Linked DNA regions of Callithrix jacchus. The protein of the gene in region 3 purifies or fractionates together with the protein of the main gene of each other region. This does not show direct contact. Links are inferred from orthologs where the notes say so. Each region holds a gene or a part of one and is shown on either strand. Other genes may lie near its edges. The genes, in order: AMOT, PLEKHA2, MPDZ and YAP1.

What was found.
Region 1: the proteins of MPDZ (region 3) and AMOT purify together in Homo sapiens (affinity purification with mass spectrometry; 4 studies listed by BioGRID and IntAct, with this or other methods). This does not show direct contact. The link is inferred for Callithrix jacchus from reciprocal best matches to the Homo sapiens genes MPDZ and AMOT.
Region 2: the proteins of MPDZ (region 3) and PLEKHA2 purify together in Homo sapiens (affinity purification with western blotting; 3 studies listed by BioGRID and IntAct, with this or other methods). This does not show direct contact. The link is inferred for Callithrix jacchus from reciprocal best matches to the Homo sapiens genes MPDZ and PLEKHA2.
Region 4: the proteins of MPDZ (region 3) and YAP1 purify together in Homo sapiens (affinity purification with mass spectrometry; 6 studies listed by BioGRID and IntAct, with this or other methods). This does not show direct contact. The link is inferred for Callithrix jacchus from reciprocal best matches to the Homo sapiens genes MPDZ and YAP1.

Annotation. Positions count from the first base shown.
Region 1 is NC_133524.1:109,162,632-109,170,742, reverse strand, and holds the start of AMOT (angiomotin), read left to right. Parts: upstream 1-4,002; 5' UTR 4,003-4,383; intron 4,384-5,482; exon of another isoform or gene 5,483-5,611; intron 5,612-8,111.
Region 2 is NC_133514.1:39,733,294-39,741,186, forward strand, and holds the start of PLEKHA2 (pleckstrin homology domain-containing family A member 2), read left to right. Parts: upstream 1-3,171; 5' UTR 3,172-3,367; intron 3,368-3,716; 5' UTR 3,717-3,811; intron 3,812-4,029; exon of another isoform or gene 4,030-5,610; intron 5,611-7,893. UniProt on the Homo sapiens protein: Binds specifically to phosphatidylinositol 3,4-diphosphate (PtdIns3,4P2), but not to other phosphoinositides. May recruit other proteins to the plasma membrane.
Region 3 is NC_133502.1:119,759,756-119,767,212, reverse strand, and holds part of MPDZ (multiple PDZ domain protein), read left to right. Parts: intron 1-1,859; coding exon 1,860-2,069; intron 2,070-2,743; coding exon 2,744-2,883; intron 2,884-4,015; coding exon 4,016-4,229; intron 4,230-4,954; coding exon 4,955-5,083; intron 5,084-7,457. UniProt on the Homo sapiens protein: Member of the NMDAR signaling complex that may play a role in control of AMPAR potentiation and synaptic plasticity in excitatory synapses. Promotes clustering of HT2RC at the cell surface.
Region 4 is NC_133511.1:37,537,824-37,545,987, reverse strand, and holds the start of YAP1 (transcriptional coactivator YAP1), read left to right. Parts: upstream 1-3,125; 5' UTR 3,126-3,509; coding exon 3,510-3,827; intron 3,828-6,703; coding exon 6,704-6,954; intron 6,955-8,164. UniProt on the Homo sapiens protein: Transcriptional regulator with dual roles as a coactivator and corepressor. Critical downstream regulatory target in the Hippo signaling pathway, crucial for organ size control and tumor suppression by restricting proliferation and promoting apoptosis.

The DNA.
Region 1 (8,111 bases), on a different chromosome or scaffold from region 3:
CCCAGAGGGTTTTCTATACTTTATAGTCAGGATATGAAGACACAGGGATGCTGTGGGGATTAGTTAAATGTGTGTGGCACAGTTTGCTGTATAAACTAACTCTCTGGAACTAGTTTTCACTCTGCTCTTAACTTCCACAGCTTTTACTGTCAATACCATTCATTTGGCACTTAGCACATGCTTGTTAGTTGTCTTTTTATGTTTATATCCTTGAAGGCAGGAGCTAAGTCTCATGCCTCTTTATTTTTTCAGTCTTGTCTATAATAGCGGCTCAATCAATGTTTGTTGATGTTGGGCTCCCCCTCCCCCTCTCTTTTAAGTAGAGCAGGCAATGCATAGCTTTAAATCCAAACTCGGTTTAAACAAACTGAAAGGTTTTCAGGGTGAAAACAAAGAAGTCTTGCATAGCAGGATAGAAGGCTTGGAAGACCTGGGTTAAACAGAAGTACCAAAAAACTGTTTGCCACAGGTTAAGAAGTCACTCGCACACAGCATCAGAGTTCTGCTAACTCTATTTCATCAACATTTGGAGAAGAGTAATGCCCAAGCAGTGTTTGAGGAGGAGGTGTTAAAGGAATTAAGTGTTTTAGAGGTTTTCACTGCTCCAATTCCATTGCTCCACAGCACTAGTTGCTGTGGGGAAAGCATGTTAGAAAAGTGTTTTGAAGGCAACTTCAAGACGAGGGGCAGGCATAGTACAAATGTAGCCACCAGGACTTTGTTACCAGGATTTCTTTTTTAATGGCATCTTCTGTAGTGGCAAAAGACAGGAAATAGCCCAAATGTGCCTCCAGTTTTTTAGAGATTAGTTAAGCGCGGAGAGTGAAAACTAGCTCCAGAGAGTCAGTTTATACAGCAAACTGTGCCACACACATTTAGAGTCTTGCTATGTTGCCCAGGCTGACCTTGAAATTCTGGCCTCAAGGGATTCTCCTCCCTCAACCTCCCTTGTAGTTGGGACTACACATGTGTGCCACCACTGTGTCTGGCTCCCAAATCCCCATTTAATAAGTGGATGAATAAAAGAATTTTGACAAAGCAATGTAATAGATTACTGAATTATAATAAAATAAATAAGGTAAACAGTTATCCTGAGATGAAAGGATATTTCAGACACATTGTTGAGTAAAGAAATGCAAGGTGTGCCATGATTAATGATTTCACTTGTAAGGAACAAAAAGGGAATAGGCACTCATGCTTGAATATGCAAATAATCTATTTGAAAGATGACATACAGTCATAAAGAGCATGGGACTATGGGAGCAGAGTGGTGGGGAGGAACTTTTCACTGTAGTCTTCCATTATTCTTTTTGAGATGGAGTCTTGCTCCGTCACCCAGGCTGGAGTACAGTGGTGTGATCTCGGCTCACTGCAACCTCTGCCTCCTGGGTTCAAGTAATTCTCTGTCTCAGCCTTTCGAGTAGCTGGGACTACAGGCACGTGCTACCACATGTGGCTAATTTTTGTATTTTTAGTAGAGACGGGGTTTCACCATATTGATCAGGCTAGTTTTGAACCCCTGACCTCAAGTGATCCACCCGCCTCACCCTACCAAAGTGCTGGGATTACAGGCTGAGCCACCGTGCCCAGTCCAGTACTATTTTATTTGAATTTTTCCATTTCATGTTTAACTTTTTTCACTTGGACAGCATTGATTTTAACAAGTATGCTGTTGCCACTGTGATTAGTAGTAGTCCTGCAGCAAGTACTGCCCTCCCATCTAGTTCTCCTATCCACTCCAACAACAAGGCTGAAATAATCTTCCCTTGCTTCACAAACCAGGTATCTCCATATCTTTAACGTTCAAAAACTCACTTTCTCCATGAAAAATCACTCAAATGACCTCACTTCATACATAAACTGAATCATAACCAGAATCATTTTGTGCACACTCCTGCTTCTGAATATTTCCACAGAGCATGCTGGACACTCCATGATGTGCAATCGTCCCTACTTTTCCTGCACTCAGAGTTACAGTCTGAGCCCCAGTTTACTGTGTGATAGTGTTTCCTTTAAGCACACTTCCTCTTGCATGCCTTGATCCATGGCCTCTCAGATGGCTCCCATTAGGCAGGCTTGAATTGGATGTCACTCTCATGGGCATGAGCTCATTATATCAGCCTTGTGCTGTCAAGGCCTTTACAGTTAGGCTTGCTTCCTACTTGAAATATTTTCTAGGAAATATGGATCTGTAGAGAATGGTGGTTTCCATGGTAAATGTTCCTTCATATTTGTTTTCTCAAGTTCACTTTGCAGATACACAGCATGATTTCCTCTTTCAGTACCAGAACCACAATAGCTTTAAGTTGTCATGAAACCGTAGAACTTTAAAAAAGAAATCTCACCCACCCTGCTTAGAAAAGGGGTAATTTATTATTCTAACTGCAGGGAGTCAACTTCATATCCATCTCCAAAATTGTAGGAAAAGAGCTGATTTTTAAAAATAAAGCCACAAAACCTACACGACCTTGGATGTAAATGCTTAAAACAGATGAACAGAATATTAATTCTCTAACACATGTAAGACTCTCCACTATGTGTCATACACAAGTAGGAACACATACATGTTGGAGTGCTTTAGTTTTCACACACATTTCATTTTCACTCCAGTGCCATTAATTTAATGGCATGTCTTACAGCATTTATTTACAGGTAGAAAAATTAAGGCTGAGAAGTTAAGCCACCTAACATTAGTCATACAATTAGCTAGTAAGTGCCAGAGCCCCAAATGAATTCTTCTTTTGGTTCTCAATTCTATGTTATTTTGCTACCCCTACACTGTTTCTTTGTGCCTTCGTTTTCCCAGATGTAAAATGGTAGATTTTCCGTGTCCCAGTATACTGTTCTCAACCCTCTGTTTTTAACCAATATCAGTTTTTTTCTTCCACAGCCAGGAAATGTGAACGCCACACTGGCACTTCATGTACTTTTCCCCCTCCGGATTTAATGAATTAAGGGGAAAGAAAAGTTACCTATTCGTGGAGGGCTGGACAGTGCTATAAACATAAAGGCGTACCAGAGTCGGCCGACACACTGCTGCACTCTTTTATGAGACTGAGAAAGCGTCTCATCTTTCTCTTCCCAGCGGTAGCTGGGGTAGAACATAGAGCTACACAATAGCCTCTTGTTTAGTTTTATTAATTTTGAGGACTGGTGGGACAAAAGGATCAGACTGGCGACTCCCGGGCCCAATCGCAAACGTATACTAGGCCAGGCCCGGCCAACCAGTAGCGGCAAAAGAATGGTGGGCGGGACTTACGCTTCAGGGGCCCGCTCCGCCCAGGCCGCATCTAACAGCCCGCCCAGGGGCGGAGCCTCTGCAGAGCCCCGCCCACGACCCCCTCCTCCCTCGCCCCGCAGCTTCTGCAGCCCGCCATCGGGAGGCGGGGGAAACTCCCGGGGTGGGGGAGCGGAGGAAGAAAGGAGGGTGTCTCGCAGAGCTGTGACCTGGGTGGGGGCCTGCTAGTAATAGGAAGCGAGAGGGGAAGGAAAACGAAGGAGCACTGCTCCTTCCTTCATTATTTTAAGCAGGCTTTGGTGGAAGCTGCTTTTCAGCATTTCTATTATTTGCTTTTCTTCCTCCCGCTGTGGGGCGGAGAGCTGCACTGGCTCTCCCACGCGAGTATGCCGCGCTGTTGCCGTAGGTTATTATTGTAGTCTTTTGCAAAACCCTTTCCTTCTCCCCAGCCAGTCCCCGCGCAGACTCTCACGGCTACGGCAACCGAGTCGTGCCCCTCTAGTGGAAAGGCGAGAGCGAGGGTCCCCAACTTTCGCCCGAGCTCTCGGACCCCGCGGTTTAATTGTTTGAAACTTCCCCGCCCCCCGGCCCCGCCTCTCTTCCGCGCTCTCCTCGCTCCTCACTTCCAGGGTCCAGGCAAGCTCCCGCCCTTCTTTCCCCGCCCTCTACTCCGCCTTCCTCCCCAGTCCACCCGCCCTGCCGCTCCGGGGCGGTCCTAGCCGCTCACCGCAAGAAGAAAAGCCACCCGTTCGTCCCCCTCCCCTACCTCCCATCCTTTGCCCAGGAGCTGCCTTGGCAGTCACGCCCCTTCCTTCCGAGGAGCTTTCTGGCTGCCTAAACTGGTAGACCCCCTGAATTACTCCTCCGTCTCCGCTCTCTTTCGCCTCCTCTTCTCTTAGTTCTCTCCGCCTCCCCCTCCAACTACCACCACCTCCAGTCAATCTCGCCTCCGACCATCCGCTGCTCCACCCTCTGGCCCGGTATCCTGCCTGTCCACTGCCACCAAGGAGAGCCCGGACGGAGCAGCGAAGAGGGGAGCAGCCAGGAGTTGGGGCTTCCCCCCTGCCCATCCCTGGCCGCTGGCCCGGGACCGAAGCCACTTGAGCGAGCAGAGAGTCGTCACCTTGTCTTCGTTGCCTTCAGGGGTAGGAGACGTGTGGTTACTTTTTGCGGGGAACTGGGGCAGGAATCCATGGTGGCATGAACTTGGTCGTGCCCTCGGCGTGAGTGAATCGATCTAGGCGCGTGTGAGAATGCCCGTGTATTCTGCTGTCTTTGCAGCTGGCCATGAGTTTTTCAGGATGTGCAGCAAGTTAAATCGGTTAGAGTGTGCGCTGCTTTCCCGTCCTGCTTAAGTGAGGAGATGCTAGTGGGTACCACTACTAGATGGTATTTTTACTTCCTTGCCTCCTGGGGTTCTTCTGGGTCTCTAGGAAATTAATCACATTGAGGAGCTAAAGACCCGAGGGAAGCTGAAATCTACTTTTAGCCTAGCATGCAAGTCAGTGCTTATCTCAGATAACTAGATAGGTTTCTCCTAAGTGCTTAGGCTTGGGGTGTGGACTCACACTCCCTGAGGCGGGAGAAGGAGGGGTAGGACCGTGAATTCTTGAAGTTTTAAAGTCTGCGTAATCTAAAACATAAGGCTACTTTTTGAAATGTGTGGTGGTGGTGGTGCTTGTGGTGGTGGTGATAGTGGTCATGAGGAGGGAATTGCCCCTATCTACTTTAGAAGATCCAAAGATGTTAGTAAATAGTTTTGGGGGATCAGGCAGGTGTCTTGAGGGTCCAAGCCTGGGCCACTGTACGTTGGTGCTTCAACAGTAAGATGGACTTCGTGGATATGTGAAAATCAAGAGAAAGAAAAGTGGGAGTAAAAATACGCCTTTATAATAGACTATGAGCAGTTCCTGGTAAATTTCCACTAATAATAATATAATAATGTTCATAAAGTGACTAAATAAGATTAAATGAGCAAGGAAAGAGGAAGTTGGTGAGAAACAGCATTTTCAATCTCTAGCGTATGTTTTAGAAAGAATTTTTCAACAACCTAGGATGTTTAGTTCAGTTCTCCTCCCTCCGTGGAAGTTGGGAGGCAGTTTAAAACTTTTATGAATATAACCCTCTTCTCCCATTCAGAGAGGAAGATAATTAGTCACCATAATCTTCAATGATGAAGGGCTAAGGGTATTTAAGTCTCCTTGAGCTAGGCTTTGTGAAAAGTTCTTTCTCAGGCCAGCCTTTGTGAAGCCTTCTCAGACCTTTCAGCACCCTCATTTAGTAGCTAAGAATAGTTTGAAATGCCATTTTGGATGTGGGATACATTTTCATCCATCTCCCACCTATCTTCAATTGGACAAGTGCATCAAACTTGTAAGTCGTGGTGTTCAAAGACTTATTTCTGTGATGTCCTGAACTCATTGCTTATTTGGGAACACATTATTTACATACATTTAAAAATAGCTTTGGTTGATTTTAATGAGGGAAAGGAAGGTAGGAAGGTAGAGAAGGAACGTTACATGGCGACAGTTTTAAAGGCTATCCTGTTTCAGATCAGCTGGGAGGGAAAAGCTGGCCTAGCCAAACTACATTTTATAACTGGCCTGGGACACTTTAACAGCCAGGTGGTTGTAGAATAGTTGCATCTATTTACAGATGATAACTCAGGTTCCAGCTATTCTGTATGGGTTTATCCGGTGTCATCGACAGACACTTTCTGGCACGACATCATACTTCATTTTAAATTACTTCTTTCTTTGGAAAAGTTTGTGGCTTTGTAAAATTGAAAGTGTTTTTTTCTACCTTCATGGTGTAGATGTGAAGTAAACCTCGTTGTATGTGGAGTCACTTTTACATGAAATTTGTGGATCTGTTTAGCTATTTAAAAGATTTTAGAAAGGGAATTTTAATAATTAATAGTCAATTCAATTTTGGATTTAGAAATTAAAATCTCATTTCCAGTTTATGAAGTTGGATTTATTAGACTAATTCCCAACTAGGACATTTGTAGAGTTGCTTTCTCTGAGGTTTTGTAAAGACCACATCAGACTCTAGAATGCTTTAAGAATAGCCTAATCAGAAGGCAGGGGGATGGATACTATGACCTTGAGGTCCCATTGAGTGCCAGAATTCTAAGTGGGTACATCTGCTTCTGTGCCTCTCCTAAGAGCCCTCTCCCAGGGCCTGCGCCTTCTTTAAAAGGGTGTCTTTGTAATTAAGCAGCCCTTCTTCCCCATCCCCCTTTCTTCCTTTGATCCAGCTTTTTAAGGCCTTTTTTCCATTTGGAGACAAGAGGAGTTTCTCACACTTTCCTGTTCCCCTCTTAACGTTTCTTGTCCTTTACCTCAGAAAAGTCCCCTGAGGTTCTCAAGATGGTTAGAAGTTTTGTTTTGTTTGGGGCGTGGGGGTGGAGTGGGGGAGTTGTTACCAGTGAGGAGGAATAGAGGATATATTCCCGCTTGGGAAATGCTTGCGACCAGGTAGCCTCCTCCATGGAGACTGAGCATTTGGAATGCATGAGAACAGTCTATTCTTGGGGACTGTCTGGTAGAAATTGTCCTTTGCACCCATTAAGCCCAGCTTAAACACATTGAAAGGGGTGGGGAGAGGTGTGTGTGGTCGTAGTGGAGCCTTTTAGGATGGTAAATGGGTAAATGTTTCCAAATCTCCTATTACATCATCTCTTTCTCCCATGGATTCAGTAGGTTTAGTGATCTGCTTGACAAGTTAATTAGCTGGGGACTAAACCAATTTGTTTAGAATTGTGATCCATTGATTTCCTGTCCCCAGGAATTTTTGTTGGTGTTTTACTATGATGTGTTGTCTTTAGTCTTACTTACTTTTCCCTCCTTGCTGCCTTTTGTGGACTTTGGTCCAAAATCTAGGGTTCCACCCCCAAGTCAAAGGTTAGAATTTTGTCCCGGGAACTAAGGGGGTATTAAACAGGCTGGCCATACTGCATTACTCTCCTCCATGGTGGGCTTCTGACCCCTTTTAACCCAGAGAAAGGAGGGAAGTCGCCCCTTCCACACACAACACACACAATCTGAACAAAAAAGAAAAAGAAAAAGAAAGAAAGAAAATAGGAGGTCATTTGCTTTATAAAAGAATCCACAACAGGTTTCTTTGTAAGTACTAGCTTTCCTAGTTAGTGCCTTTAAACTGTGACTTGATATATAAAAATTCACTCTAACTGGGCCTTCTCAGAAGTATATTTATTGCATAAAGGAATACATAAGAATTTGTAATGATTATCGCTTAAATGAAGTGAGGCCATTATTTGGCCTTTGAAATCTTTTTGTTATATGGAATGGAGTTAGTTAATTGTCTAAATCATGCTGGCTTGTAATAATGCTGGCCACGTTAGCTCCGGCCTACAACTGCTTGCAGAAGAGAGCTAGTATTACTTTTTGAAAAAAAATCAGACTTTATAGATTTTGAACAATTCTAAGGCTGAGACTATCCACTCCATATAGGTAAAATATTTTATTTCCAGTCACTGTATTTGACTTACCCAGGGATCCAGAAAGTTATTTCTAGTAAATAGTGGCGACTGATGCCATTTTTAACCTAAGAATCTGCAATAAGATTTCCTAGTGAGCCTATTGGTGAGAAGGATCTGGGCTCTAGGCCCAACTGTAACTCGGTTTACTACTTCTGTTAAGTTTTTTTTTCCACTGTAAATTGTGGGCTCGGACAGGGTGATTTTGAGAGCCAGTTCTCATAAGTTTAAGGTTTTCTTTCTAGGCCTCAATATCTAGTATGAATGTGAATGATTGCTACTAGAAGGAAGTGCAACAGTTGTTAGAAATTCAGTCATCTAGTCATCATGTTAAAACAAAAGATCCTGTAAGGATATATCAATATAGATGCA
Region 2 (7,893 bases), on a different chromosome or scaffold from region 3:
GAAGCTAGACACAAAAGGCCACATATGTTATGATTCGACTCATATGACTTATATGAAATATCAAAAATAGGCAGATCTGTAGACCGGATGGAAAGCAAGTTAGTGGCGACTAGGGGCTGGGAGAAAAGATGATTGGGAGGTGACTGCTTAATAGGTAGGTGTTACCTTTAGAAGCGACGAAAATCGGTTGGAACTAGACAGTGGTGAGAGCTGTACAACATAGTGAATGTACCGAAAGCCACTACATAAACACTTTAAAATTGCGAAATTTATGTCATGTGTATTTTATTACAATAAAAAAGTGTCCCCCAAAGAGAGGGGGATGACAAAAGATAGCAGGGTGCAGACTCACTTGACACCTGCTTCAAGGTAACATTAGAGGAGGGGTTGGGGTGTGGGTCCTCTGAGGAAGCCCTGGGAGATCCAGGGATGAAAGAGTAGACATTAGTGCAGGATTTGTCATCTAACTGGGGCCAGGTTCTGGCCAGAGGCACATGTAGCAGTCAGTGGGGTTCCAATGGAGAATGAGCATCACCCCAAGTACACTGACGATGACCCTCCCTCAGCTCAACATGTTCTTGGCCTCCTCTCACTGTGGTCAAACCCTACCCATCTCAGTTCTATTTCAAAGCCCACTCTCTTCTTGAGCTCCCCCCACCGTACCCCACACAGAGACACACTTCCTTCTTCTTTTTTTTTTTTCTTGAGACAGGTTCTCACTCTGTCACTCAAACTGGAGTGCAGTGGCATGATCATGGCTTGAATTACTGGGCTCAAGTGATCCTTTCACCTCAACCTCTCGAGTAGGTGAGACCACAGGTGCATGCCTGGATGATTGAATTGCTTTTAAATTTTTTGTAGATATGAAGTTTCCCTAGCTTCCCAGGCTGGTCTCGAACTCCTGGGCTCAAGGGATTCTCCTGCCTCAATCCCCCAAAGTGCTGAGATTACAGGCATGAGCCGCTGCCCCTGACTACATCTTGTCTTTCTAAAAGCTGACAGTACTTACTCTCTGTGCCATTCCCAGGTCATAAGGCTGCTGCAGCCTTCTAGAGACACTTGTATTCTCTTGCCACCCAAGGCCTTCTGCTTCTCTTTGCCTCCCAGCATCCAATACAGTAGTGCTTAGGAAATATTTGTGGCTCTGTGATGGAGTGGCTCAGGCAGCCCCATGGGGAGTAGAGTTTTGAGTTTAATATGAACCATACCATGAAATCTGAGAAATCTACCTCATTGCTCATACTGGAAACCCTCTGTTCCACTCAGATTTGCTTGGAGCTGGATGAAACTGTGTTGCTTTTCACACTGAAAATGATCATCTAATTTTTAAATTAAAAAAAGTTTACATAGCACCTACTTCATGTTGGACAGGAATCTCAACACTTCACAAATGTTAACTCACTGACCCTTCCTAACAAACAGACATTGAGAAGTTAAATAACTTGCCCAGAGGTCAAAGCCAATACGTGGTAGAGCTGGGCTTCAAATCCAGGTTCCTGGCTTCCAGAGATGCTCTTCAGTTTGTTCTGGTGCCTGAAACGTACAGATGAGGGCCAAAACCCTCCACACACAGGGGAAAGAAAAAAAAAAAAGACAACATTGATGTATTTATTTCAAGGGATTTTTTTTTTCTTGCTTCCCCCCTTTCTTCCTCATTCAAAGCAAAATGCTCTAAAGCAGTCTTTTTTTTTTTTTTTTTCCCCACACCTAGAGGAGACAAGCGCGGCTCATTTTTTTGCTTTGGCAATCAAAATAGAAGAGAAAACTTGTGTGGTTTCATCACTGGTGCTTTCGAGATGTGAGGGGCGGGCTGTCCTTCTCCCTCTGGCTCATTGACCCTAGACCCCTCCCCAGGAGTTGTGGCCTCGGGTCCTGGAGACTTAAGGGGGCCGCCTTTCCACTATGACTCCGGGAACGTGCCCCAGCCTCTCCCGCCTTCCTGCAAATCCAGTCCTTGTCCTGAAGAACCTCGGCGTCTTCTTACGCCCGCCTCTCTCAAAGTTTCTTAGGCTTTACACCTGATTAATAACGTTTGCATCAGGATGGCCAGACCCCGGCGCACCGCCCTGCAGGCCCGCGCTAATCCATTACATTGTCATGTTTCGGATGTTGTCCTCCTGACTTGATGCATATTCAAATGTCTCTCTCCCCACGTGGGAGGCCGGAGTCAGAACCTGACAGACCTGCCGTTTACTAACTGGGGACCCAGAGCAAATTACTTCACGCACCTGAGTCTCGGTTTCCTCACCGTGAACGGGATTGGTACCTATAGGTTGCGGCGTGGATCGAATGAGATAGCGCAGGGGCGGCATCGGCGCACAGCAGCTCTTAGCTCCTCTTAGCGACGTCTACGTAACACATGCTTGTCTGTTTCCCATTTTCCCCAGAGCACCCTCAAGCTCTCGCGCCACACCGAAAAAGTCCCAGCGGTCGCGCTGTAGGTACCTGTGGGCCCAGCTACTGTGGAGGCTGGAACAGGAGGATCGCTGGAGCCCAGGAGGTGGAGGCTACAGTGATTGTGCCGCAGTCCAGCCCAGGCGACAGAGCCAGAGCCTGTCTTAATTAAAAAATAATAATAAGAAGAAAGAAATTAAAGTTCCTATAACCCTGGTTAGAGTGTTCCGGGCCACTGTCTCTCAGGGCACATTTAGGACAACCTGAAGTAGCCACTCTTCTTGGGACCCTAACCCTAACCCTAACCCTAACCCTAACCCTAACCCTAACCCTAACCCTAACCCTAACTCCTCGGCCCCCAAAGGCTCTTAGCTCAGGATCTGAAGGAGGCCGGGCTGAGGCCGCTGGGTGGGGCTCTGGGAGGAGGAAATGGGGTTCCCGAGGGAGCCCGCGCTCCAGCTCGCCTCCTTCTGCGAGGACGCCCCCCTGCCCGGACACCTGCTGCCCGAACGAGCGTCGGGGCCCGGCCTCCCAGCGGGGCAGTCTCTGGGCGCCCGTCCCACTTGCGCGGCGTGGACCCCGGGCTGCCTCCGGCGCAGCCTCTGGGAGCCCCGCCCCGCCTCCCCGGCGCGGCCCCGGCGCCCAGCCGCGCCCCCTCCCAGCCCGCGGCGCCCCGGCACCCCTCTCCCTCCCAGGCAGGCTCCGCAGAGCATTGTACTCACATCCGGGGCTGGGTTTTGCTTTAATGCGAAACGTAATTAACCCGGAAAAAAGAGCAGAGGGACTGGAGCGAAGGAGGGGGTGCAGGGGGAGACAAGAGCTAGGGGAGCCAGAGGCGCGGAGAGTTTGGCAGCGAGACCCAGAAATCCACTGAGCGCGGCGGACCCGGCGGACCCGGCGGACCCGGCGGCCGGAGGGGCGACCCCACCCGATGTAACGCGCTTCGCCTGAGCCCCGGCCCCCGCACGGCGGGGTAAGTTGGGCGCTCTCGCGGGCCCAGGAGTGGAGCGGAGCAGAGGGGCGCGGGGCCGGCAGGGCTGGGGGTGCAGGGGGCGCTCCGGCGGGGCCAGGCGGCCTAGGGGCGCTGGGGGCGCGCGCGCGCAAGGCTGCGTACGCCGGTCCTGGTGGCTGACAGGCGAGGGGAGGTGGCCGCAGACCCAGGAGGCCTCCTCCAGCCCTCTGGGAAAGCCCCGAGGGCAGCCCATCCTCCAAGTGCCCCCGGTGGCCAAGGTCGCCGCCGCCAGGGGTCGGGCTGCGGGGGTGGGGCCGCGGGGAGGGTGGGGGCGGGAGTTCTGCTGAGCTGCATTTTCTCACGTTTGCAGCGGCGAAACTTCTCTGCGGGTTCTGGAGCTAGGGCACCGGCCCCGCAACGACTGCCCGGGCTGCGGGAGGGGAGGAGAGCAGAGAACGTCCCCAGGCAAGTCCCTCGGGTGCGGATGGGGCCGTGGAGACTCCTCTTTCTCTTCCCCCACTACCTTTTGACTTGACAGGCTTAAAAGGCTCCCCTAGGGACACCCGTCCTTTCCTCTGGGTGCAGCCTGGCCTTTGGGCTTCTGGAACTCCAGGAAATTGGAGAGAACTGCCCTAAAATGCAGGTTCGGTGCCAGGTTGGGCGAGCCCTCGAGGGGAGCTGTCGTTCTTTCTCTCATCAACTTCTTCCTCACCTTACACGCTTCCCTTTTCTGCTCCATTCCTAAAGACGATTTCACCAAAATTTTTTTTAAAAAAAGAAAGAAAAAAGAAGCGTGGTGGTGGTGCGGGGGGAGCCAGGACGTTTTCAAAGGAAAAGGGTCTCCGTACGTCCAGAGAGGGGAGCGGGGCCAGCGGAGGCCGCAGCACCCTCACATCTTCTCCCGGGGCCAGCCCTGCCCCCAGGCCCTCGCCTTAAGGTTTGGCTTCCTTCCTTCTTGGTGAACACAGGTTCAGGATGTATCTTCCCCTTCTCATTCCTTCTTCCTGCCCGCCCTCTTTCTTTCTTTAGGGTTCCAAGTGGGGTTTTCAGAGGACAGTAAACGGCAGAGAGGAGGGAGGGGAGAGCACCCTATCAGGAAGCCAGCTGTGTGGCTCTGGGGGCTCTGAAGGCTGAGCTGTAGGTGCAGTTGGGGCTGAAGTCCTCAGATTGTACAAATGGTGTTCTTAATGTATCGGACCAAGTCCCTTTTTCCCTTTTGGTGTGGAAGATTTCCAAACCGTAAAGCAAAAGATCTTGAAAGAATGGAAGTTTTTGTTTTCTATATCGGTTGCATTCAGTTGACATGTATTATACATGCAAGGCAGTGATGAACAAAACACATCTCCTGCCTTATTTACTTATCTTTTATTTTTCCTTTACCTCTGGAGGGCTGGAACTTATCTTCTGGGACCTTCCGGGACTTGTAAGCATACTTGTTTTGAGAAGCCAGAGTAAGCTTTTAGAAAGCATCATCATCATCCCAGATGTTAGCCTTCTTCACTATGTGCCACTTGAAGGCAGGTGACTTTTGCACTATCAGAGGTCTAGCTTGTAGTCTGGATTATGGCCAGCCCAACATATGACATGTACCAGGTGCTAAGTAAATGTTTGTTGCATTAGTGAATGAATGCAAACACATGCATTGTCTGCACTTCTCCAAATGGCAGAGAAAAGAGCAGTGCGTTTGATCCTGAAACCTGTAGCAATTTGGATCACCAAGCTGGTACATGGGAGTTATTAGTCCGGATGTTGCCTTTACACCTAAATATCCTTTGGCCCTGTTTGTACATTACAGCACACTTTCTGCAAATTGACTGTAGCAATCCTAGTGGAGTTTTAGCTGGCTGGTAATGGGAGCCTTGCTCATTTCACAGATGGGTAATTACCTTGGTGTTGGTTGGGAAACCGCCTGCCCTTTGGTGAAGAGTTTTTGCATACCTTTCTTTTTCCTTGTTATTGGTGCTTTCTTCTCTCTTCTGTGTAACGAAGTAGGGCCTGCAGATGCCATCATGTCATGATAGTGAGCTGAACCATATTCAGCTCGGTATTTTAGAATGGTTAAAATAAATCTTGAAGACCTGCAGGTTTTGTTTCTGCAGAAGTGGGAAGGGGAAGGCTGATGAACCCTCTCAGCTGAGCTCCAGAGCAGCCCTCCCACTACCTTGCCAAGTGTTTGCTGAAGTGCTGGGATACTAGGAAGACCCAAGCAGCAGGAAGTGTGTGCATCCACCGGCACTGGTCTCCTTCATGGGACAGATGGACAGGTGGGTGGTGCCCCTGCTGAAAGGCTGGATGACTCAGATGAGAGCTCGCTGCAGACCACAGTGCATCAGAGTCTCTCTTCTGATTCACGGAAACTGCTGTGGCTTGACTTATTCTGGCTGTGATAGACCTAGGGCTTGGAAAAGAGGATCTGGGTGCTGGGATGTTGGGTTGCTCTGCCCCCTCCCTCTCTTTCCACCACGAACAGTTTGGGTTGCCTTCCTTTCCATTTTCCATCTGTCTTAGTGAGCTGGATGGGACTCCAGCAATCTAATCTGGTAGGCTTTGGAAAGGAAGGAAGCAGAGCAAATATTATAGTGTGACAGCCTATGGGAAGAGAAAAATCCTGGCCCTGCCTGATATAAGCCCGTTGTTCAGATGGGGAATTGGGCAGGCGGGGGGAGATAGGGCAGCCGGGAGGTGGGAGGGATGCGGTCTCATCCTGTCGGTGGAGGAGGCCAGGGGTTGGTGCAGTGAGACTCTACTGTTCCTTCTGAAAGCCCCTTTCCTGCCCTGACTCCAGTTGATTGAAGTGATTTGTTCAGCATTAAAGCCTTCTCATTGCGGAGGTCCCAGCCCTGCTGGGGCAGGGGCCTCTGATACTGCCCAATGTGGGCAAAAGTCTTGGGGGGCTTTGGCCCTGTGGTGTGCCTTTTGCCCATAGTGCCTGGTCAGCTCAGATGCAGAGGATGGGAAGCTGGGTCCTCTTGTCCTTATACTCTTGAGAAGCACTGCAGTTAAAGTGCGAGGTTGGGCCTTAAATTCGGCTGGGCCCTTGCGAAACAGCCCTCTGATGGTGTGATTGCCTGTGGCTGGATCAAGAGGCAGCTCTAGGGCCCTTTCCTTGGAAACCGATGAGTATGTCTAGGTTTCTGTTAACTCTCAAGGTAGCCTGGCCAAGGAGCCAGCGGATTGCCCGGACTTTTTGTTTTAAACCCGCTGGATAATTTTTTTTTAGACAGAGTTTCACTCTTGATGCCCATACTGGAGTGCAATGGTGTGCTCTCAGCTCACCGTAATCTACACCTCCTGGGTTCAAGTGATTCTCCTGCCTCAGCCTTCTGAGCAGCTGGGATTACAGGCATGCACCACCACTCCTGGCTAATTTTGTATTTTTAGTAGAGACGGGTTTTCTCCGTGTTGGTTAGGCTGGTCTTGAACTCCCAATCTCAGTTGATCAACTCACCTTGGCCTCCCAAAGTGCTGGGGTTATAGGCATGAGCCACTGCGCCCAGCCGAGAATTTTTAGAGATGTAAAATGCGGTGGTTCTTGGAGTAGAGGGAAGAGTGAGGGGAACTGATGCCTTTCCCTGTGAGAGGGATGTCAGAGTCGCAGCTTTTTCATTGCCATTTGCTCACTGGCGTTGGAGGGGTGGAGGTGCCTGTGCAGCAGCTGCCTGCCCTAGGTTAAGCAGCTTTGCAGTGGTAATGATGACCATGTGCTCCTTGTTAGGCACCCACACATGAAGTTTAACAACAACAATATTTACCCAATGTCTGCTGTCCAGGGCTTTTCACACGCTGTTTCATTTAATCCTCACAGCAGCCTTTGAAGTAGGTAAAGCAGTTATCTCCATTTTGCAAATGAGGAAATAGACCCTGAAGAGTTAAGCAGCTTGTCTGGGTTTGCATCCAGGTTTGTCTGGCTTGAGACTCATAATCTTTCCCTTCACTCCACTGCACAGATGGGATGGGTAACTGAAATCAACACACCCTTTTGAATGGTCATCTTCTTGCAAAAGATCCCTCAAAAATACTCATATTGGGCTGGGGGTGGTGGCTCACGCCTGTAATCCCAGCACTTTGGGACACTGAGGTGGGTGGGTCACTTGAGGTCAGGAGTTACAGACCAGTCTGGCCAACATGGTGAAACCCCATCTCTACTAAAAAAAATAGCTGGGTGTGGTAGTGCTTGAAGCTACTAGGGAAGCTGAGGCAGAAGAATTGCTTGAACCCAGGAGGCGGAGGTTGCAGTGAGCCTAGATCATGCCACTGCACTCCAGCCTGGGTGACAGAGCCAGACTCCATTACACACACACACACACACACACACACTCACTCATATTGGCTGGATGCGGTGGCTCATCCCTGTAATCCCAGGCTTTGGGAGGCTGAGGTGGGAGGTTCACTTGAGGTTAAGAGTTTAAGACCAGCTTGGGGAATCTAGTGAGGGCCCCATCTCTACAAAAAAAAAAAAAAAGTGAAAAATTAGCTAGTTGTAGTAGTGTGTGCCTGTAGTCTCAGCTACTCAGGAGGATTTTTTGAACTCAGGAGTTTGAGGTTAT
Region 3 (7,457 bases):
CTATTTAGATTTAACTTCAAACTCTTTGTAATAGGCACACACAAATAATTATAGAATCATTTCCCAGAGTGGGATGATCTTTTCTATTGTTACATGTGTCATTGTACTTAGAGCTAGCCAGACAGCATAGTTTGAGGGCACAGTCCTCCAGACTGCTAGTGCTGCCCCATACATCTGAGACCAACTGCAGTGAGTTAGGGTCCAGCTACAAAGTTAAAGGTATAGGGATACACAAAACCACCCTCACTTCTGACATCAGCTGCAAGTTTGCAAGGTTCCCCTAGCCCTAGCCACCTTGAGGTTTCATAATTCACTATAAGGTCTTAGAGAATTCTCTGAAATCTGTTATACTCATGATTATGATCTATTGTAGGGAAAGGATGCAATTAAGGGTCAGCCAAACAAAGAGATGCGTAGTGCAGATTATGGGCGGATTCCCAACTGGAAGCTTTCATTTTCCTGGGAAAGTATAACTTTGCCAGAATTCATGTGGGACAATATGTAGAGCGTACAGCCATGTGTCATTAGGTGATTGCATCCTTGTACAAACATCATAGGGTATACTTACACAAACTTAAGTGGTATAGCCTCCCACACAACTAGACTATATGGTATTGTTTCTAGGCTACCAACCTGTATAGGATGCTATATGGAGTACCTTATGTAGTTGTAGCACAATGGTAATTATCTGTGTGACTACAGAAAAAGCGCAGTAAATATATGGTTAAAAGATAAACAATGGAACACCTATATAGGACACACTTACCATGAATGGACCCTGCAGGCCTGGAAGTTATTGTAGGTGAATCAGTGAATGAGTGGTGAGTGAATGTGAAGGCCTAGGACATTACGGTGCACCACCAGATAGCCAGTGTATCTAGTATGCTATAGATAGCCAATGTAATGTTTAAGTTTTTGGTAACTTTGGTAACTTAATGAGTTTCCTGTTTTGTTTTTAAGAACAGGTAACAAACTCTTATGTATAGAGTTTATACATAACTTAATAAATACTGTACACTTAGGCTATACTACATTTACAAAAACGTTTGTTTCTTCAATAATAAATTAACCTTATTTTATTGTAACATTTTGCTTTATAAAGTTTTAATTTTTTAAAACTTTTGACTCTCATAATAGCACTTAGGTTAAAGTGCAAACACATGTAGAAATGTGTTTGACTGTGTTGCAAACCCAGGAATGTTACCTCATCTTGGTGTTCGAATTATTTTATTTTACTTTAAGTTCTGGGATACATTTGCAGAATGTGTAGGTTTGTTACATAGGTATACACGTGTCATAGTGGTTTGTTGCACCCATCAACCTGTCATCTATATTAGGTATTTCTCCTAATGCTATGCCTCCCCTAAAGAATTTTTTATTGGGGTGTTATTTCATAGGTGTGATTGATTGATTGTCCTGCCCACATGACTAAAATCTGACTCAGAGTTTGGGCTTATATCTGTGGCCCACCATGAAGAAGAAAGACACCCCATCACTCAGGAAATTCTGAGAGTTTAGAGGTTACTTCATGGGATCTGGGGACAAAAAAAAATGTTTGTGTGGATGTATATATTTATGTGTGTGTTTTAATGAGTACCCTGAAATTCAACCCTGGAGGTAATTGGTTTTTTTAATTTTCCCATCTAATAAATGGTGCTGCATTGAACATTTAGTGCTGCACACACATCTTTATTATCCTAACGTTTATCCTTGAAATAAATTTCCTAAAATAGAATTGCTGGATCAAAGGATTTGGACATTTTGAAATTTCATATGTATGTACTTATACCCTTGGGATATTTTCTATGCAATAGTTTATGGAATGTCAAAATTCTTAATAATCTCTGTATTACTCTTAGGTAAATATTTCGACTTCAGCAACTTCGAATACTGAATATGCCCACATTCCTCATCTCAGCCCAGCTGTGATTCCTACTCTGCAAAATGAATCGTTTTTATTATCCCCAAACAATGGGAATCTGGAAGCACTTACAGGATCTGGTATTCTACACATTAATGGGAAACCTGCTTGTGATGAATTTGATCAGCTTATCAAAAATATGGCCCAGGTAAGAACATTTCTTTCTGTTAGTTATTGTAATACCTGAAATAAGTTAAGAATGTGATCAAGTTGTGGATAATTTGAAGAATATAGTGATATTTATAACATCTGAAAAAATTGGAACAAAAAGGAAGTCAATTTTGTGGGAGTTTAGATGGTTCAGAGTTTTTCAATTATAGTTTCCTTATCACCATTTAAATTTGAGTATTATATGTTGTGTTATAGAAATTGTTCTTCAGGATAAAGTGCTAACAATGACCTTGGAAAAATTTTTTTTCATTTCTTTTTTTTTTTTTAACAAAGAAATGATTCTAATAAGATGACTGTTGTGCATCATTAGTTTTTAATTTAAGTTTCTTTTGAGATGTATCTTGCTCTGTCATCCACACTAGAGTTCAGTGTTGTGATCATAGCTTACTACAGCCCCAAACTCCTGGGCTTGGGATTCTCCTGCCTCAGCCTCCTGAGTACGTAGGACTATAGATGTGTACCACCACACTCAGCTGAGTTTTATTTTATTTTTTATAGAGATGGGGTCACATTATGTTGCCAGTCTGGTCTCTAACTCCTGGCTTCAAGTAATCTTCCCACCTTGGCCTCCCAAAGTGCTGGGATTACGGGCGTGAACCACCATGCATGGCCTGGCTTTTAATTTTATTTATTTCTTTGTTTTCTAAACAGGGTCGCCATGTAGAAGTTTTTGAGCTCCTCAAACCTCCATCTGGAGGCCTTGGGTTTAGTGTTGTGGGACTAAGAAGTGAAAACAGAGGAGAACTGGGAATATTTGTACAAGAGATTCAAGAGGGCAGTGTTGCACATAGGTGAGATGGTCACAGGATCTTCTTTTTGATAGCCATTCTGAAGGTTTTGGTCATTATGTGAGAATTTAGAAAAATAATAATGAATAGAAACAAACAAAAAATTGAATATAATGTTATTAACCAGTTTTTACAAGTCATTAACATTGTGATAAAAATAACAAGTCCTTTGAAGTGAGAGTAGCTTTTAAATATAGTCATAACTTGTTTTGATAAGGAAAGAAAAATTTGAGGATAACATTATTTTCATTTTTAATTAAATGAGCTCTTTTTGATTAGATTTTAAAAATTACTATACTAGAAATGATCCATAATAAATTGAGCTGCATATTATTTATATACCAAAAGCAACAATTTATTACAGTTGTCCCTCATTATCCATGGGGAATTGGTTCCAGGACTCCTGCAGGTACTAATAGCTGCAGATGCTCAAGTCCTTTATATAAAATGGTGTAGTATTTGTACGTAACCTGTGCATATCCTCCTGTATATTTCAAATCGTCTTTATATAACTTATAATGCCTAACACAATGTAAATCCTATGTAAATATTAATAGTCATACTGTATTTAAAAATTTTGTATGATTTTTTATTATTGTGTTATTTTTTCTGATTATATTTGATCCCCAGTTGGTTGAATTTATGGATGTGGAAACCATGGATATAGAGGACCAACTCTCTATGTATATCCACTTTCATTTTTAGAAGATAGGAATATCCAAGATGTAATGTAGGTTGAATGGGTGGCTGAAATAAAGAATGCTTTTATATGGAAGGGGCTGAGTAGGAGTAGCAGTGGAATAACCTTACAAGAATTGCTGACCTGCAGCCAAAGCATATTATTTTAAAGTAGAACTGCAGGAAAAAGATTAAAAAATGTGAGAATTGATGGGGAGAAATGCCAGATACAGGTATTGGGGAGGAAGGCAGCAAATCACACTGCCATGTGTGTACCTATGCAACAATCTTGTTCTTCACATGTACCCCAAAACCTAAAATGCAATAAAGAAAAAAGAAAAAAAAAGTGTGAGAATTAAAAACAGGATTAAAAATGACTTGAACATGCATGTCCAAGAAGCTGTCATTTCCTTGAGAACTCTCAGATGTCTTTTATTCTCCTTTTCATTCTTGATAGAGATGGAAGATTGAAAGAAACTGATCAAATTCTTGCTATCAATGGACAGGCTCTTGATCAGACGATTACACATCAGCAGGCTATCAGCATCCTGCAGAAAGCCAAAGATACTGTCCAACTAGTTATTGCCAGAGGCTCATTGCCTCAGCTTATCAGCCCCATAGTTTCCCGTTCCCCATCTGCAGCCAGCACAATTTCAGCTCACTCTAATCCGGTGAGTACCTACAATTTTCAAAAGGAACAGAACATATTTTTCGAGTTCTTTTTGGTTATCTCCAAGTTTCTAATTTGTGTAGGTTCTTTGCATTTCTTGAGTTTTTGTGTAACTATTCTTTCATCTTTCCTTAGCCTGGAATATTTGCCTTTACGTATGATAAAGCTTCTAGGTTCTAAAACAACCATTACTTTTCTTTGTGTAGTTTTTTCTTTGATAGCATTCCTTAAAAATGAAAAATGTAGTCTTTTAACAAAATTGACTTTATCTGTAGACAGGTACAATCTTGATTTTGCTTTAAAAATTATACAATTATATTGTTACAGTTAGCTGTCAGTGACTTTAAGAAGTCATCTAATTTGGCATCCTGCCTCAAGGCAGGTTTATGCGAAGACATTCTTAACATGTGACCTTCCTTTTTCCTTGATCTTTTTCTTTTTTTTTGAGAAGTTCTACAGACGATCTTGCAAATCAGTGTCTGTCTTTAACTGGTGAAATGAAATCATTATGATGATACATTGATAATTTCAAGAATGGTTCTATCCATAGCATTACATTCTGTTGAAAGGCAAGTATACCAAATGAAAGGGACATTGTTAGGGCTCATTTTTATGTCTGAATTTAATTATTTAATATTAACCAAATAATAATCACAAAAATTTCTACTGTAATATAAAAAGTTCTTTGCAAATTTCTACAAATTCATATATGAGCTTTGTTTGTAGGTTCACTGGCAACATGTGGAAACTATTGAATTGGTGAATGATGGATCTGGTTTGGGATTTGGCATCATAGGAGGAAAAGCAACTGGTGTGATAGTAAAAACCATTCTGCCTGGAGGAGTAGCTGATCAGGTAGGCTACACAATAGATCTTTTATGCTAGTTTATCAAATAATATGGCCACATCTTTCACATTTTTTGTTAGAGAGAAAAAACTATGGCCTTAGATAATGCCAAAGAAACTGAGTTAGAATCTTTCATTTTATTGAGTATCCCTGAAGTGTTGTCTTAGACCTGGGGGAGGAATACTTTAGAAAAGGTATTAAGTTATAGTTTTAAACAATGGGCTTTAACACTTTTGAACCTCAGACTAAAGCCAGGGTTATGGATTTGATAATTGTGGATGTAGCTACTATTATTATTTATTACATTTTAGGTTTTGGGGTACATGTGCAGAACATGCAAGATAGTTGCATAGGTACACATGTGGCAGTGTGATTTGCTGTCTTCCTCCCCTTCACTCACATTTGGCATTTCTCCCCATGCTATCCCTCCCTAGCTCCCCACTGCTGTCCCTCCCCTATTCCCCCAAATAGACCCCAGTGTGTAGTGCTCCCCTCCCTGTGTCCATGTGTTCTCATTGTTCATCACCCACCTGTGAGTGAGAACATGCTGTATTTCATTTTCTCTTCTTGTGTCAGTTTGCTGAGAATGATGTTCTCCAGATTCATCCATGTCCCTACAAAGGACACGGACTCATCATTTTTGATTGCTGCATAATATTCCATGGTATATATGTGCCACAATTTCCCTGTCCAGTCTATCATCGATGGGGATTTGGGTTGGTTCCAGGTCTTTGCTATTGTAAACAGTGCTGCAATGAACATTTGTGTGCATGTGTCCTTATAGTAGAACGATTTATAGTCCTTTGGATATATACCCAGTAATGGGATTGCTGGGTCAAATGGAATTTCTATTTCTAGGTCCTTGAGGAATCACCACACTGTCTTCCACAATTGTTGAACTAATACACTCCCACCAGCAGTATAAAAGTGTTCCTTTTTCTCCACGTCCTCTCCAGCATCTGTTGTCTCCAGATTTTTTGATGATCGCCTTTCTAACTGGCGTGAGATGGTATCTCAATGTAGTTTTGATTTGAATTTCTCTAATGACCAGTGATGATGAGCATTTTTTCATATGTTTGTTGGCCTCATATATGTCTTCTTTCGTAAAGTGTCTGTTCATATCCTTTGCCCATTTTTGAATGGGCTTGTTAGTTTTTTTCTTGTAAATCTGTATGAGTTCTTGTAAATTCTGGATATCAGCCCTTTGTCAGATGGGTCAACTGCAAAAATTTTTTCCCATTCTGTTGGTTGCCGATTCACTCTAGTGACTGTTTCTTTTGCCGTGCAGAAGCTGTGGAGTTTGATTAGGTCCCATTTGTCTATTTTGGCTTTTGTTGCCAATGCTTTTGGTGTTTTGTTCATGAAGTCCTTGCCTACTCCTATGTCCTCAATGGTTTTACCTAGATTTTCTTCTAGGGTTTTTATGGTGCCAGGTCTTATGTTTAAATCTTTAATCCATCTGGAGTTAATTTTAGTGTAAGGTGTCAGGAAGGGGTCCAGTTTCTGCTTTCTGCACATGGCTAGCCAGTTTTCCCAACACCATTTATTAAACAGGGAATCCTTGCCCCATTGCTTGTTTTTCTCAGGTTTATCAAAGATTGTATGGTTGTAGATATGCTGTGTTGCCTCCAATGCCTCTGTTCTGTTCCATTGGTCTACATCTCTGTTTTGGTACCAGTACCATGCTGTTTTGATTACTGTAGCCTTGTAGTATAGTTTGAAGTCCAGTAGTGTGATGCCTCCTGCTGTGTTCTTTTTGCTTGGAATTGACTTTGCTATGTGGGCTCTCTTTTGGTTCCATATGAAGTTCATGGTGGTTTTTTCCAGTTCTGTGAAGAAAGTCAATGGTAGCTTGATGGGGATAGCATTGAGTCTGTAAATTACTTTGGGCAGTATAGCCATTTTCACGATATTGATTCTTTCTAATCACGAACATGGAATGTTTCTCCCTCTGTTTGTGTCCTCCCTTATTTCGTTGAGCAGTGGTTTGCAGTTTTCCTTGAAGAGGTCCCTTACGTTCCTTGTTGATTATATTTCTAGGTATTTTATTCTCTTTGAAGCAATTGTGAATGGCAGTTTGTTCTTGATTTGGCTCTCTTTAAGTCTGTTATGGGTGCATAAGAATGCTTGTGATTTTTGCAAATTGATTTTATATCCTGAGACTTTGCTGAAGTTGCTTATCAGTTTCAGGAGTTTTTGGGCTGAGACGATGGGGTCTTCTAGATATACTATCATGACGTCTGCAAATAGAGACAATTTGGCTTCCTCCTTTCCGATTTGAATACCCTTTATTTCTTTTTCTTGCTTGATTGCTCTGGCTAGAACTTCCAGTACTATATTGAATAGGAGTGGTGAGAGAGGGCATCCTTTTCTAGTGCCAGA
Region 4 (8,164 bases), on a different chromosome or scaffold from region 3:
TATGACAGCATCTTAAAATAGGGAGTCTATTTTAAGATGCTGTCAACTGATAATTGCTCTGCAAAATGGCCAGAAGAGGAAGGAGCAGACAAAGGATTGAATATGTTATCTTTATCCCCTACTACCCTGTGACTGAAATTGTATAAACGAAGAATAGTAAGTTACAAAATTGTGGTTGATGATACAGAAGTGCTTACAGAACATAGTCATTCCAAAGAGCCTTTCGCTCCACTTATCAAAGTAATTTTGTCCTCATTTTAATGGCAGGTAAAACAATATTAAACAAAGCAGCCTCTGCTATATCTTAAGCCCTTTAGTTAGTGTTTGTAGTAGTAAATGCTCTAGTAAAGGGACAACATCCATTTCTTTTCTTTTTATTTTTGAGACGGAGTTTCGCTCTTGTTACCCAGGCTGGAGTGCAATGGCGCGATCTCAGTTCATCGTAACCTCCGCCTCCTGGGTTCAGGCAATTCTCCTGCCTCAGCCTCCTGAGTAGCTGGGATTACAGACACACGCCACCATGCCCAGCTAATTTTTTGTATTTTTAGTAGAGACGGGGTTTCACTATGTTGACCAGGATGGTCTTGATCTCTTGACCTGGTGATCCACCCGCCTCGGCCTCCCAAAGTGCTGGGATTACAGGCTTGAGCCACCGCTCCCGGCCATCCATTTCAATCCCAGGTTTTCAATCACTTTGATTCTTTTTTTGAGACAGGGTCTTGCTGTGTTACCCAGGCTGAAGTGCAGTGGTGTGATCTCAGCTCACTGCAATCTCCACCTCCTGGGTTCAAGTGATTCTCATGCCTCAGCTGCCTGAGTAGCTGGGACTCTAGGCACATGCCAGCACACCTGGCTAATTTTTGTTTTTTTAATAGAGACAAGGTTTACCATTTTGGCCAGACTGGTCTCAAACTCCTGACCTCAGGTGATCTGCTTGCCTTGGCCTCCCAAAGTGCTGGGACTACAGGCATGAACCACCATATCCGGCCCACTTTGGTTCCTAAAGTTTTCTTTCAGGCAAAGTTTTTAATGCATAGTTTCTGCCTAAAGGTTTTGTTTGTGTAGACTTATTATTGGATAAGAGAGGAAGGGACTGCCAAAAGGGTCCCTAAGGCTGTGCTTAGAAAGAGAGAGCTGCTGCAAGGAAAGGCTATGTCACTATCCGTGAAGTAATCTGTGAACACAGGACAATGACCACTGACACTGATGCAGAACTCACTGGTGCAGGACACTGCATGTCCCAAACTGGGCTAAATACTTTATATCCACTGACTCATTTAATGCCTCAACAACTATGTAGGTGTTATTACCCCAATGCTAATATTAAAGAACAGGAATTAAGTAAGTTGTCCAAAATCTCACAGCTAGTAAATGGCAGAACTGGGACCTGAACTCAAAACTCTGTAACTCCAGAACCTAGAGATTTGTCATTAAATGCACTTGACATTTGGAAGTAGAAACAAATCCGGGAAGCAGTCATCGGTGTCATTTACACTGATCCCTTTTTTCAGACAGGAAACTGGGGGTTCAGAGTAGTTGACTGGAATCTTCTGTTAGAATTTTGAGTGTCTGAAACCTGCTACCCTGGCCCAGCCCAACCACACCAGGTGATACGGATCCTTCAGAATTCTACCGGGCATGTTCTGGCTGGAGGAAGAGATTATCTTTTTGCTCACGGACTTTTTCCTTGCTTAATCCTCTTTATACCTCTTTCACTAGCATTGTAGACAAATCATTAAAACAAGAAAGTCACATTTCCTTAGAATGGGCTAGAGCATTTAAATTTAGACTGATGTTGCACAATCCTATGAATATACTAAAAAAAATTCAATGCTTAAATATACAAATATGTACAAATATTACTTAACATTTTATGGTATATGAATTACATCTCAATAAAGACTTTTTTTTTCTTTTTCTTGAGGCTAGTCAAGTGAAGCAGTGGGAGTGGAGAAGGAACAAAGAAATCTGTAACTGGTTGCGATCAATTAGTTGTAAACACCACTGCACTTGGACCAGCCAATAAAGATGCTTTAAAAAAAAACCCGAGAGTGTGACTTAAAACACACATTTCCATTGTTTTTGAGTGGTTTCCAATGAGCTCCTTGCACATCGCGTGCCTGCGGTGACCTCCTTGCCCATTCATTTCTTATTCAGTCCACATTCACAGAGTCCACTGTTGGGCCAGGCACAGGGATAGCAGGGGTAGGACCCAGCTCCCAGAGGATGAAAGACAGGTAAAGAGGAATGAATGCTTGTACCTGAAGAAGCACTGATTTTTTGGGTTGAGGCTTCCAGTGACTATGCTGCAAATTCGAGTACTAAAAAAGTTGATGTGATTTCAGTATTTAGAAAAATACTGAGAAAAATACGCAGTGTTTTTGTTTCTTTTAATAAGTTACAGGGAGTCACAGACCCAGTCTCAAAGCTTCAATTTCAGTAACCATTTATCCTTTCCAAGTGAGTTTTTGCATACCAACACATAAATGAAACAGAATTACAAAATAAAGTTAATGCTGAAAAAAAAAAAGGACCTTTATTAACATTAGCGCCGCCTCACAGTATCTATTTTAACTCCAAGCTATGCTCCCGGCTTGAAGCCCGCACTGGCGCTCCGCTCGGTCGAACCGGGGTAACGCGTGGAGGTGGGTTCGCACATCCTCTCTCCACTTCTTTCGACCTTGGCCCTTTCGCAGGTCCCGGCGAGCTGGAAGCGCCTTTCCCGAGCCCGGGCGAAGAAGGGGCCGAGCGGGGCGGAAGGACTTCCTGCGGCCAAGGGCGGCCGCCTTCTCCGCAGAGACTACAGTTTGGACCCAGATTGGACTCAGCGTTTGTGGTTCGCGAGGCGGAACACAGGGCACGCTCCGGGCCCCTGCCCGGCAGAGCGCGAGCGGAGGGCGGACTGGGCCCGGGTGGGCGAGTCACGTGCGGCCGGGAGCGGCGCCGCGGGCCGGGAGTGTGCAGGAATGTAGCAACTTGCAGCGAAAAGTTTCCCTGCGCGGCAGACTGGGCCGCGGTGCGGGCGGGCGCGCAGAGGAAGGAAGAGCCGGGAGGCGGGGCCGCGGCGGCGCGGGCGGGCGCTTCTCCCAACTTTAGTTTTGGCGTCTGAGGCGAGTTTCTGTCTCAGTCGGGCGCAGCCGCCGCCAGGGAAAAGAAAGGGAGGAAGGAAGGAACAAGAAAAGGAAATAAAAGAGAAACGGGGAGGAGGGGAAAGGCAACCAGCCGTCCGGCCTCAGTCAAGGGAGTTGGAGGGAAAAAGTTCTCAGGCGCCGCAGGTCCGAGTCCCTCGCAGCCCCTCCCGAGGCGCAGCCACCAGACCAGTGGAGCCGGGGCGCAGGGGATGCGGGGCCGCAGCACAGTCCCCCGGCCCTGAGAGCTAGGAGAGCGCCGCTCCCACCGCCCAGCCCGCAGCCCTCGCCGTTTCTCCACCTCGGCCCGTGGAGCCGGGGCGTCCGGGCGGAGCCTTCGCTCGCCTGGTCCGGGGGTGCGCATCGGGGGAGGCAGAAGCCATGGATCCTGGGCAGCAGCCGCCGCCTCAAGCGGCCCCCCAGGGCCAAGGGCAGCCGCCTGCGCAGCCTCAAGGGCAGGGCCCGTCGTCCGCACCCGGGCAGCCGGCACCCGCGGCGACCCAGGCGGCGTCACAGGCACCCCCCGCCGGGCATCAGATCGTGCACGTCCGCGGGGACTCAGAGACCGACTTGGAGGCGCTCTTCAACGCCGTCATGAACCCCAAGACGGCCAACGTGCCCCAGACAGTGCCCATGAGGCTCCGGAAGCTGCCCGACTCCTTCTTCAAGCCTCCTGAGCCTAAATCCCACTCCCGACAGGTAACCTCGCCGCCCCTCTCCCAGCTTCCCCGTCGGGCGGGCCCCAGGCTGGGGGGCGCTCGGGAGTCGCGGCCGCCAGCTCTAGCCAGGGGAGGGGGGGTTGCGGGAGGTCTTGGGTGGGGGTCTCGCGGCGAAGTGGAGGAACTGGAGGCGTCCCCTTGGCTGCGGTGACCGGCTCCCTACTCTTCCCAGAGTCCGGGGCTGAGATTTGTTTTTCCCCTCTGAGTTTCTCTCTGCGGTTGCAGCCCCGGCGGGCGTGCTTTCCCTCTTCCTTCCTTTCTTTCTTCCCGGGGTTCCCGGGAGGTTGGCGGGAGTGGCGGGGGTGTGGGGAGGAAGGAAGGGGGTGGGGAGAGCCGGGCCTGGGCCGCGGTGGGCTTGCACAATGCGCGCGCCTCCGCGCGCTCCGCAACTTCGCTCCCGCCGGGGCCGGGCCGGGAAAGGGGGAGGGGGGCCTCTGGCATTTGTGTGTGGGTGAGTTGCCAGCGGCGGCCGAGTTTCTGAAGTTGAGCCCTGGGCCCCTTTCCTTTGGGGCCTCTCGGTCCACTTCAGTCTCCTGGGGAGTCAAATAATTGTTCTCTTGTTTTCCAATGTTGATTAGGGGTGGGGGTTGAACCGGTCCATTTAGTTTTTTTGCTCGCTCTTCCCCCCCCCGTTTCCCCTCCCCCTCCCGTAAGCTTTTATTTTCTTCGAGGCTCAAGCGCTTTTAGAACACAGGTTTCGGGCTTTCCCTGCCCAGACTTTCCTGGAAGTTGTTTATGGAGTTCTTTCACACCCCCCTGTGCTTCCCTTGTGTCTTGGAACTTGGGCCGGCTCGCTCTTATCAAACTTAGTAGGTTGCGTGTTGGTTTCCCAATTGTAGACTATTATTTACAGTCGGCTGAAACGCTTTTAAATTAGCCACATCTGTACGTTGCGCAGGAACTGAGTTGCACTTTACTGTACCGACGTTTTAACACAAGCCTTTGATAATACACTGCAGGTTGACCCATAGGCCAAGTCCTGCCTAGTTCAACTGTGATTAAAAGTTAATGTTTGGGAAGCGATGACTAATTCTGGAATCGCCATTGCTTTATAATTCTTATTGCGGATATGAACATGGCTGCTTTTCCACATACACAACGTTCGATCATTTTGCCAACTTGATTCAGCATAGAAGTGAAACTATTTATAATGAAAGTGTTAACATTCCGATAGGTCCCCGTGGATTTGTTTAGGGTTCTTTTTCTTTCCTTTTTTTTTAGAAAGAACTTGCTTGAGGCTAAACTTGAGCATAGGAACTTTGCCCAAAAGTTAATAGATTTTCCAAATACTGCAGTGTAGTTAGCCGACTCGGACTGTAACTTGAGTGGAAAGAGTTACCGCCCCCACTCCCATTCCCTCTCCTATTTGCAGGCCTGTTGTATATTCTCCTGTCGGGTTTTGGAACTCAGAAAAGCTCACTTAACCTGATGACAAAAACCCGGGTTAAGGAGGAGGAAGGAAAAACAATTTAGCTTCTTGCCTAAACACTTCAATTTGTCAGAAGTAGACTTAGGTGTGCTTTTTTCTCATACCCCTGAAAGTGGGTTTATGGACTCATTATGGGTAAATACATGTTGGCATGCACCTTACAGACAGTGTATTTTCAAAGTATAATAGACATAGATTGAATCCCCCATTTTGTGGCATCTATCAGCCACAAAGAATCATAACTGGAAAGTGTACTTTTTCTTCTAGTAATTTTTACGTGAATTTCTATCCAGCAGTTCTAAAATTCAGAGTATTATAGTTTTATTTTTAATAAGTTTTTAAGTGTTGTGCATCTGTAAATTCGACTTTTATTTCTGCTAACGATTTCCTAAATCACACTTTTTCTGATGGGAAACAAAGAAAGGTCCATCACTTAAAGGCATGGATATGACTCTACTAAGTCCTTCCAGTTTCCTTACCTTTGTGAATCTAGGAAATTCTTAACTTTTTGGTAATCAAACTCTAATTCTAATTTTTAAAATTTAGATATGCAAGATTAGGAGTAGAACAAATCTAGGTTGCAAATACTATTATTCACAAACTGGTGACTAAGTTTTATGTACATCCATTTTTGTCATGAAAACTGTTTTACAAACGAGAAAACAGGCATATGGAAGTTAAGGTATTTGTTCAGTGTCACACTAGCCAACTTGGAGTGCGGAATTGTTTCTGCTCATAAAGAGTTGTGGATGTGTGTCAGTTATTAAGTTATAATTGGACTCATAACATCTTTATCTTCTACATACAAAGATACAGTTTTTTTTCCATCATGTTCATTGTAGATGGCTTTTAAGAACATTTGGGCAGTTCAAGTTTGTCGATTTCATTACAAATTGTGTAATTTGTTACGATTTCTTTATTGTTGGCATTTTATGATGGGAAAAAATGACAAGGGTTTGTTCTTACTTGGCCTTGACCTAGGGAAAAAAAATGAATTACCTAAAACCTAGTAAAACATGCATATTATTTGTGTTGTGTTTATCCTTAGAATATTTTAGGACTTGGAAAAGCACCCATATTGCATTGACCTTTTAAAAATTAGGTTTTAAAATTTACTATTATTTTTGGAATGTTTTATTTGTTTCAGTACTAGTTGCCTTTACATGTCTAGTGTATAGTAGGTGGAAATTCATTAGATGGACTGCTCATCAATAAAACTACAAATATTTATAAAGTTTATATTAAAATTATATATTAAAAGTATCCATTTGAAAACCTGTGCTCTCTGGTGTCAAATATTAAATGTTGAAATTTTCCTTTGGTTCTTAGACATTTGGCTGCAATTAAGCACTGACTGGGAAATTTAAAGGGACTCTCAAAAAAGTTTTTTTTTTTTTCTTAATTTTTCATGTTAATATTCCTAATAGGCCAGTACTGATGCAGGCACTGCAGGAGCCCTGACTCCACAGCATGTTCGAGCTCATTCCTCTCCAGCTTCTCTGCAGTTGGGAGCTGTTTCTCCTGGGACACTGACCCCCACTGGAGTAGTGTCTGGCCCAGCAGCTACACCCACAGCGCAGCATCTTCGACAGTCTTCTTTTGAGATACCTGATGATGTACCTCTGCCAGCAGGTTGGGAGATGGCAAAGACATCTTCTGGTCAAAGATACTTCTTAAAGTAAGTGAAAATAATGGTGGGAGACAATTATCTAAGAAAAATATGTATTGGAAAAGATAGTAAAGCAGTGTCAAGATATAGAATATTATTTGTTTTTATGTTTTACTTAATATTTATGTTAAGCTCTGTTATATCTTCCATATATGTTTTTTAGTTTGGTATGATCTAAATACGTTTGTTAGCATGGATAATATTTTGAAAGCTTTATTGAGTCTTGGTTCTGAACCTCTCTATAATCTTTTCATTTGTGGAAGTTTGGTATTTCTCATTTTGAGCTTGTGCCAAACTCCTGTTAATTAGCCTAGCACTAAACAGAAAGAATACCATGAAGATTTTCAAATTCTGGAAATTACAGGACTAGCAGCACCTTATGGAATATGTATGGTGCTACTTGTATCTTTTTAAATAAATATTTTATTGGTAGAAAACTACAAAATAAGTAGGGCTTTTTGGGGAGTCTAATTTTACAGTATTTTAAATTGTGAAATGATAAGCACTTCAACTGAAGCTTGATGTAACTTACCAATTTTTCCCCAAAAAATGTAATGGGAAATACAGATTTTTAGATTTTTTTTTTTTTTTTGAGATGGAGTTTCGCTCTTGTTACCCAGGCTGGAGTGCAATGGAGCGATCTCGGCTCACCGCAGCCTCTGCCTCCTGGGTTCAGGCAATTCTCCTGCCTCAGCCTCCTGAGTAGTTGGGATTACAGGCGCGTGCCACCATGCCCAGCTAATTTTTTGTATTTTTAGTAGAGACGGGGTTTCACCATGTTAACCAGGATGGTCTCGATCTCTTGACCTCATGATCCACCCGCCTCGGCCTCCCAAAGTGCTGGGATTATAGGCGTGATTCACCGTGCCCGGCCCAGATTTTTAGGTTTTATATGCAGTCCCTCAGTGGTAAATGTCTTTCAAGCTAGTAGATCTTCAAAACAGAAACTCTCCTCTCTGGGAAAACAGAAACATGACCATTGGGTTGTTTATTTTTTATCAGTCTTTTTGTTTTTAACAAAATGGCAAAAGTGCACTAGGTTGAAAAGACCAAAATAGAATTCTCTCTCCTCTAATTTTGAAATTACAGGTAGGACCTCAACTTTTTTCTGTTTTGTTTGGATCAAGTATATGCAAAATGTTGTTTAAAACTATTACAGATGGAAGTTGATGTCTTTAAAAATGCTCATTTAATAGTGTTTAATTAGGTTGAGATAATA